2 linked regions of the Arabidopsis thaliana genome follow. The protein of the gene in region 1 interacts with the protein of each later gene in a pairwise test. Each region holds a gene or a part of one and is shown in the gene's direction. Other genes may lie near its edges.

What was found. Proteins that work in one complex are often made in the same cells at the same time.
Region 2: the proteins of AGL39 (region 1) and PHE1 interact in a two-hybrid assay, tested with the Arabidopsis thaliana proteins (one large-scale study listed by BioGRID).

What each region holds. Positions count from the first base shown.
Region 1 is NC_003076.8:9,543,831-9,548,662, forward strand, and holds AGL39 (AGAMOUS-like 39), read left to right. Parts: upstream 1-2,716; 5' UTR 2,717-2,802; coding exon 2,803-3,723; downstream 3,724-4,832. Other genes in the region: AT5G27140 (NOP56-like pre RNA processing ribonucleoprotein), read left to right, coding at 4,712-4,789.
Region 2 is NC_003070.9:24,264,693-24,269,459, reverse strand, and holds PHE1 (MADS-box transcription factor family protein), read left to right. Parts: upstream 1-2,123; 5' UTR 2,124-2,139; coding exon 2,140-2,979; 3' UTR 2,980-3,203; downstream 3,204-4,767. Other genes in the region: CYP96A3 (cytochrome P450, family 96, subfamily A, polypeptide 3), read left to right, coding at 1-1,325. UniProt on the Arabidopsis thaliana protein: Probable transcription factor involved in the development of gametophytes and seeds.

The sequences.
Region 1 (4,832 bases):
ATGTTTGGTTTAGTCCTTATCCCAGAAACTTGCATTTTGCCAAACGAGTCAAGACCTTACCGTTAAATCCTTCTAATCTTAGTATAACGTAATTACTCATAGTTGATTAGTTCATAAATTTGTAAAGATCAGTCCGAAGAGTCGACATTTTTCATCAAGTGTATCATTGACATTTTAAAAAACCTTGTACAAAATGAATATTTGTGAGTCTAAAAAGTACCTTAATAGTCAATTGGAAATGGATTGGGTTGAGCATAAGGCAAATCATACCAGACCTTAGAAATTTCAAAAGATAAATAAAATCTAGAGTCTACCTACTTTGTGTGTGTATATATTTTTATTGTGCTATAAATTTTGTGATGAATATGAATCAAAATTCTTTCTGAATATTTCGTGATAATGGTTCCGTCAATATCAAAATTTACTACTGAACATATATGTTTTAAAATATTTAACTGGATTTTAATTCATAAAGTTTTTTTTATTTTTAATTAAATTTAGTTGCCGTGGAAAAAGTTTAATCTATAGTGTTTTATGTAATCATTGTAGGTAATGTTCAAAAAATCTGCCTAGACACCTATCGAACTGGATTTTAATTTATAAAGTCTTTTTATTTGTAAGTAAACTAGTAGGCAGCCCGTGCCTTGCACGCAAAACAACAATACCAATAATATATTTCGTGTCTTTGAAATTTGCAACAATTACACAAATGACGAATATCACAACCTCACAAAATACAATGTGTATCACACATTGCTCTATAACTCTCAATAAAAGTCCTATTCAACTTTACTCAAATTGTAAAATAATATATGTGTTAAAATTAAGAAAACTTTTATTGGAAACAGCAAATAATCTTACATAAATACACTAACTTATCTCATAGATATATAGAAAAAAATATATATATATATACAGAGCCGTTTTTTCTTCTCAAAAAACTTAACAATAATAATGATGGAGAAATGAATTACCTTCTAACCAAAACGCTTTTCTAAACTTGAACATATAAGATGGTTTCACATTTAAATTATTTTGCACACTACACCGTGGAAGAAGATGTCATGTCATGCCACCCATCTCTCAATTTGGTTATCTTCTTCTTCTTCTTCTTCTTTTTCTGAATTGAAAGCCCCAAAACATTTGCATCCATTTTGTTTCTATATGATTCTCGCAAACTCATGTGGTCATTTTGTAGCAGCGGGTGTGCATGGAAAATGTAAGAAGATAAGACCAAGTAAAACGCAACAAAACGGCCAAAGGTTTATTGATATTCATACCAGCGATTGGGTGGACCAAACTCAGTGAGTCGTGAGGGGTTAACAGCGTCCATCACATTAGGTATCACAAAAGTCTCAACTTTCATTATTTACGTCATTCTTTCGTTTCTCTGGTAGACGTATTTAGATGAAAGAATGGAGGATCTAAGATTATGAGAAAGGAAAGAAGAAGAAGAATTTAAACCTGTTTTTATCTTCTTGAGAATGGCTTATACGGTTGCTCTTGAGATCGTAAATTAACTGGCAGAGGGTTTGAAAGATGGGAGAGAAAGTAAAGAATCTTAATAACGTGGAAGAAGTAGTTGCTGAAAAAGTGGTTAAAAAAATTTAAATTTATCTTTTGTCAAAAAAGAATATTCTATTGAATAGTAAAAGGAAGTGAATTGGTTTACGATTGTGGAAGTGCAAAATTTTAGACTTAAAGCATACGTGTCAAAATGAGAAGCTTACAGTTTTTTTAAAAGTGACTGTTGATTTAGTATTATTAGATTTAGTTGCCGCGAAAAAGTTTAATATATAGTGTTTTATGTACTTATTATAGGTAATGTTCAAAAAAATAGCCTAGACATCTATCGAACGTCTAGCTACCGTACAACGATTTTTTGAACATTGATTATAGGTAACTAAATCTACATATACATTTTTGCCGCCATTTTGTGAAATAAATCTTAGAGTTGGAACTTATTTATAATGGCTGCCACTAGCTTTTAATTATTGTTTTTTTTGCAATAAATTAATTAACAAGCAAAAAAAATTCCAAATATATTCTAATCCCATATATCACGCAGATTTCTCCAAAATTGAACTAAATTTCGGTAACTATTTAAAACAAAAAATGTTTGACAAACCAAAATACAATTGCAATCCCTTAAAATGAGCAAAATGCACCTAAATACATTTCTTATCAATTCACTAAATCTAATTTCTCCAAAATTTGAATTAGATTTCGACAAATATTTTTAAAAAAATTTGTTTGACAAACTAAAATACAATTGCAATCCCGTAAAATATTTATTTTAATTATATATTTAAATTAACGGTGTACCACTGGGTTTTTTTACGGGACGAGTTTGGCGGAACGGGTTTGAAAGAACGTTACTTAATAACAATTGTAAACTATAAAATATTTTTATTTTATAGATAGATATAATTTGCAAACTTTTATATATACTGATTTAAAAAAATAAATTATTTCTACGGTATAACGCGGGTTAAAATCTAATATTTAGATAATTTTGAATATCCAATATATATGTTTAATTGTTTATAGTAGTAATAATTTTTTTCTGCTATTGTTGTAATAAAAGAAATCTCTAAAACGTTTTAGTAGGAAAGAAAAAAAACGTTAAATGCATAGAAATAAAGTTGGGCAGTAAAAGGAAAACAACAAGACCTAATTAAGTTTGACATATATAACTCAGGCGGCTATTACATCTATAAATATGGGTAATATATCTATCTTGCTTCTACTCTCTCTTTTCACTTTTTCTCTGTGTCTATTTGTCTCTCCGTAAGAAACATTATGCCTTCATCTGATTCCACGATGATGAAGAAAGGAACAAAGCGCAAAATCGAAATAAAGAAACGAGAAACCAAAGAGCAACGAGCCGTGACTTGCTCTAAACGCCGTCAAACTGTTTTTTCCAAAGCCGCCGATCTCTGTCTTATCTCCGGTGCTAACATCGCCGTCTTCGTAACCTCTCCCTCCGATAGTTCCGATGTTGTCTATTCCTTCTCCGGTTACTCCTCTGCCTACGAAATCGCTGATTGTTACCTAAATCGCAAGCCTCCACCCAAGATTGTTAACCCGGCCGGATCCAAACTAGGATTTTGGTGGGAAGACCCTGATCTCTACCATTCGTGTGATGATCTCTCTGAGTTAAGCATTATCGAGGATCGTTTACAGAGAATGAAGAAGCATGTGATGGCTTGCCTTGAGAAGGAAGAAAAATCTCAACTTGTTTCTAGTTTCGACCAAAACCCTAATAGTACTTGTTCTCTCGACGTCGAGGATTGTGATGGATCTTCTTATTCGCAAATTGCTTCTACTTTTACTCCAAACTCTGTCAACGAGTATTGCAGCGATCAAACCTTTTCTTCTTTCCATGGCGATCAAAACCCTAACCTCTCGTCTCCGTCTTTTGATCAGGACTGTTACTCCTCTCTCTATCAGATCTGTGGAGAATCATCTTCACAAGTTGCTTCTTTTGATCAAAACCCTAGCTCCGAGATCCAAGGATTTGAAACAGAGGAAGAGATTAACCAAATCAATCTACTACTACAAGAAACACAAACAGAGGCCAATGTCAATTTGGATGATGAGATCTGCTTTTGGAATGATCTATCCAACGATGATGTGTTTGGTCTAAACAGCTACTTCGGTCTCGATAACACCAATGCAATGATCAACTTCGGAGATTCCGACTTTAGACGTCATGTCTGATATGATGTGGTTGTAATCTTCAGAACTTGTTCTGATTTTGTCTCATTGTAAACAGAGATTCTTGATCCAATTTAAGTTTTTGTAAACCTTTTTTCCTTTATTGTTTGATACTCTGATGTGAACCCTTTCGAAGTTGAAAGTAAATTGTTTGAATCAGTTTTGCAATTCCACTTACTAGTTTGTTGATGTTAAATTCAAGTTAGTGATTTGAATTTGGATTCTCAGAAAAGAAGAACACAGTTTTTGGAGCTTTTGCTTGTAATTTTACATGAGTTTTAGCCTTTAGCTGAACACTTTTTGATTCCTTAATGGTCATCTTGTTAGGTGATGTGTTTGAACTTTGAACAGAGTACTTGAGATTAATTTAAGATTATGTATGTAACGTAGATTAGATGAACATATTTATACCAACATTTTATTAAAAAAGTAACTATAATCATTTTTCGAATTAGTAATTAATTTTATAGTTTCTTTAAGGTAATCATATATTTTACAATTTGTATATTAAAATTAGCAGATCAAACTCTGTTTTTGATAGAGAATAAATAAACTTTGTTTTTGATAATCTTTTCCCTTAGAAGTAAGGTCGGTTATTTTGACATCTTTAAAAATTAATTGTATAATTCTTTTTAGAAATATACCATTTTAAGAAAATAAGAATAGTTTTTTTTTTAAAGGTTTTTTTTTAGTTTTTTGTGAAAATTATATTTTCACATGTTTTTTTTCCGTAACTTTTTAATAGAAAATCATATATTTATTTTCTTATATATATAGATCGTCGATTAAGAATCTCGAACCCTTATAGCAAATTCGTTGCTCCTCTTTTTTTCTTTCTCTAACGCAGCAGCTTTGCTTAAATCCTCTTAGGTATTTATTGAATCTTTCTCCGTTGTCAGTGGAACGTGGCTTCCAAGTATTAGTTTTTGACTAAGTATAGTTCTGACTTTGAGATGTTGAGTTGATTAAAGGGTTTCTCGTAATCTTAAAGATGCTCGTACTGTTTGAGACGTCAGGTGGTTTTGCACTCTTTAAAGTATTAGATGAAGGAAAGCTCTCTAATGTTGAGGTTATTTACCTTATTCATTCTCTTACTTTCATTGATCTTAACC
Region 2 (4,767 bases), on another chromosome or scaffold:
CGACAGATATGACGTTTTGTTTCAAAGGTCCATGTCTTAGCGGAATGGACATCTTGCTTACTGTTGATCCGGTGAATATCCACTACATTCTAAGCTCAAATTTTGCTAACTACCCCAAAGGAATGGAGTTCAAGAAGATCTTCGAAGTCGTGGGTGATTCAATTTTCAACGTTGACTCGGGTTTGTGGGAGGATATGAGGAACTCGTCTCATGCCATTTTTAGTAATCAAGATTTCCAAATGTTCTGGGTGAGTACAAGTGTAAGAAAATTAAGGCAAGGGCTTGTTCCTATTCTTGAAAACGCAGCTGATAAAAATATCCTTGTCGACTTGCAAGATTTGTTCCAGAGATTCTTGTTTGATACATCTTTGATTTTGATGACCGGGTATGATCCAAAATGTTTATCCGTTGAAATGCCTAAGGTTGAGTTCGGTGACGCGGTCGATGGTGTTTCTGACGGGGTTTTCTATAGACATGTTAAGCCGGTTTTCTTGTGGAGGCTCCAATATTTGATTGGTGTAGGAGTAGAGAAAAGATTGAAAAGAGGTCTAGCGGTATTCGATCAACTACTCGAGAAGATCATAACGGCTAAACGAGAGGAGATCAATAGTCATGGGACTCATCATCCCTCAAGAGGAGAGGCCATAGACGTGTTGACATACTACATGACTATGGACACGACCAAATATAAGTACTTGGAACCAAGTGATGATAGATTCATCAAAGACACTATTTTGGGTTTCTTGATAGCGGCAAGAGATACAACAAGTTCAGCACTCACTTGGTTCTTCTGGCTTATGTCCAAGAACCCTGAGGCAATAAACAAGATCCGACAAGAGGTTAACAAGAAGATGCCGAGGTTTGATCCCGCAGATTTAGAAAAGCTCGTGTATCTACACGGTGCCGTGTGTGAGACGCTAAGGTTATACCCACCAGTTCCATTTAACCACAAGTCACCGGCAAAGCCAGACGTACTTCCAAGTGGGCATAGAGTAGATGAGAAATGGAAGATTGTCATATCTATGTATGCATTAGGGAGGATGAAATCTGTTTGGGGAGATGACGCAGAAGATTTCAGACCAGAGAGATGGATTTCAGACAGTGGAAGGTTAAAACATGAACCTTCATATAAGTTCTTGGCGTTTAACGCCGGTCCAAGAGCTTGCTTGGGGAAAAAGTTAACGTTCTTACAGATGAAGACAGTGGCTGCGGAAATCATACGAAACTATGACATCAAGGTCGTTGAAGGGCACAAAACCGAACCAGTTCCTTCTGTTCTTTTTCGTATGCAACATGGTCTCAAAGTTAATATCACTAGGATCTAGTGATAGTTTTTGTATTTTTTTTGCTGTTAAAGATTTCAATAAAACATGCATGTTTACTCATGCTTAGACTTATTTTGCAAACACGTCTTTAATTTGTATCAGTCATTTGCCTTATAAGAGTCTCTATTTCATAATAACATCACGGTTTTACAATAGCATGTGCTCACATTTTGTGGTCTTTAGAATCTGATGTTTAGTTACTAATATTTTTTTTGGCAGCTATGGTTTGTATTATTGGACCCTTCCCCACAGTTATAACACCCAAAATCGATAACACACATAATAGCATGTGTCTTAACGAAACAAAAAAAATAAAATAACATTACTTTCACTGTTTAGCCATAACATTACTTTCTATCCAACTGATATTACATGTATTTTAAATTATTTATTAATTATGTTTATATAAACTATTAACATATAGAAAAAATTTAGAGATTGAAGAAATATCTTAAATTACCTTTGATGTAATTTGTTTTCCTTTCAATGGACTTCCTAAATAAAGTATAAATCTCATTAGATATGTGATACAACTGTTTTCCTATATATCTTGTTTTTATATATGCCCCCCAAAAGGTAAAATATCTATATGGGCTGTCTCTAAAGATAAATGATTATCACTTTACCATCAATCACATGCCTACACGTAAGGGTGAAACTAATACAAATCCTGAAAAATTAGTAAAATAAAAAATCAATTAATCATATCCAGCAAAGCAATAAAAAATCTATTGACTCGAAAATTGACTATATAAACCATCCTCCTCATGCTAACAAGACAAAGCAAAATACACAAAAGAAAAAGATAAGAGATATGAGGGGGAAGATGAAGTTATCGTTCATAGAAAATGATTCAGTGAGGAAAACAACATTCACCAAAAGGAAGAAAGGGATGCTGAAGAAATTCAACGAGCTAGTAACTCTATGTGGTGTTGACGCATGTGCGGTCATCCGTAGCCCGTACAACTCGATCCAGGAGCCTTGGCCATCAAGGGAAGGCGTTGAAGAAGTGATGTCGAAGTTTATGGAGTTTTCGGTGTTGGACCGGACCAAGAAGATGGTGGATCAAGAGACGTTTTTACGTCAAAGGATCGCCAAAGAAACAGAACGTCTCCAGAAGCTACGTGATGAGAACCGTAATTCTCAGATTCGAGATTTAATGTTTGGTTGTCTCAAAGGAGAGGTGGACGTGTCTCATCTTCATGGAAGAGATCTTCTTGATTTGAATGTATTTCTTAACAAGTATCTCAATGGTGTTATTCGTAGGGTTGAGATCCTTAAGGAGAACGGTGAGTCTTCTTCATCTGTACCTCCTCCTATTGGTGTAGCTCCTACTGTTGTGGATGCATCTGTCCCAATCGGTTTTGATGGTCGTATGATTCAAGATCAAAACCAAAATCAGCAAGAGCCGGTTCAATTCCAATACCAGGCTCTTTATGATTTTTATGATCAGATTCCAAAGAAACTTCATGATTTTAACATGAAAATGAATATAGATCCAAATCAGAGTATGAATTTGGATCTTAATGATGGAGAGGACGAGGGCATTCCTTGCATGGACAACAACAACTACCACCCCGAAATCGATTGTCTCGCTACCGTCACCACTGCCCCCACTGATGTTTGTGCTCCTAACATCATCAATGATCTCTAGTCGAAGGGATGTATTTCGAGTGAAGTGGTTGATCATCTGCATCTTTTGATTTTTCCATTTCAGAAAATAAAATTTATGTGATGTTTTTTTTTATTATTGTACTACAGTTAAAGGTTTTGCCTTTAAGTTCATTTCCGTTGATGTATTTGCCTGAAAAGGTTTAGTTCAATTTGAATAATTTTAATCATTACAAAATAAAGAGTTTTCAGTATCTTTAGAAGAAACAAATCTTTAGATATGATGTCATTAAAAACCCTATAATATCTAAAATAGCTTTGATTAAGTCAACTTTCTTTGTTTTGCCTATATATATGCTATGGCTATGTCATGTTTTCGTCTTACTTATATTTGAACTAAAATGATTATGAATGTTATTGCCATATTTTTGTTGGATTCAAATGTTGATCACAAAAAAGAAAGGATTTCAATTTTGTGTACCATGCTATTTCAAGATGTTTCTAGCAAATTCTCAACTACGTAGTTTAGGTGACCACTTGTGAGACCTTTGCATACTTTGGCACACATAATTTTCTAATGCATACCTCATCTATGAGTCGAGAAGACGTCCCATGGGAATAAAAAAATCGAAGACAAAAGTACATATATAGTGCTGACCATTGTGGATCTCCTGATGTACATACTCAGCCGTAATTGGTTTTAACTTCAGTAGCTTCTGCCACGTTTTGGAACCTAGAGTAGAATCCTTACCATCCTAACAGATAATATATTGTCGGAACCGCCCATAATAAACCCCCACGAAGTTAGTAGTTTCCAAATTAAGCTTAAGCTAAACAACCGTGACACATGAATACGTTGGAAATGAAGCCCTCATTCCTTTTTAGGAATACACGCTTCTTTCAACATATTGGCACGCTTGTGGAAAAAAACATAGAATAGTAGAAAACCTAGCAAGATACGGCCATAAAAGAAATTAAGGAATCTTAAAAATCTCTTCTTTCACATTGTTTCCACACTTCCCCTGCTTTGTTGTTTCAGAATTGAGACACGTTGTACAAGATTTTTGGATCAAAAGACTCGCAAATATAGTTAAGTTTATTTATGACACCTAAATTCTAGTCCAACAAGAATTTGCGTGATCGCAAATTTTGATAAATTTGTGTGCTTGTATTATCTATTTTATCCAACGGAAAAAGATTCTTGATAAATAATATCTATCGTTTTCGAAAAACTTTGTTTTTCATCACTGAGTTTTTAACATCGAATGCATTAATTTCATGGAATGCTTTTTTATCCCAACATGATAGAATTGTAATTTATTACTTTGTCAAAGTTTTGGAACGTTAGACTTTGCCATTCATCCCAAGCAAGTGGGAGGGTGATATCTCGTTGGTGATCAAAAGGATCTTTTAAGGATTTCCAAAGTTCTTTAAGATCTCGCATGTGTGCATAGTCATATAATACACTTTTATCGAATTGTCTTTTAAGGAAGATTCGATTTTACTTTTTCTTGGGCCATCGAAGTATCATACTCTTTTAAGGTCTCCGTTATCTCAAGAGACTCCAAACGTAACTTAACATTGATGGTCTAAGATATGTAGTAAGTCTGAGTAATGTATAAGACTGTAAATCGAAGCTTCTCGATATTAGTCATTTCATTTCTAATATAAAATCATGGAGAACGTTATTAGAAATTTGATATTTTATTTTATAGCATGGAAGGTACTTGTATAAGCAATACAATTACATTTTAAAAAGTATAATAATAACCATCAAAACGTTTTAGGAAAAATACTCTCCAAAGAGTAAACCGTAAATTAAAACAAATAT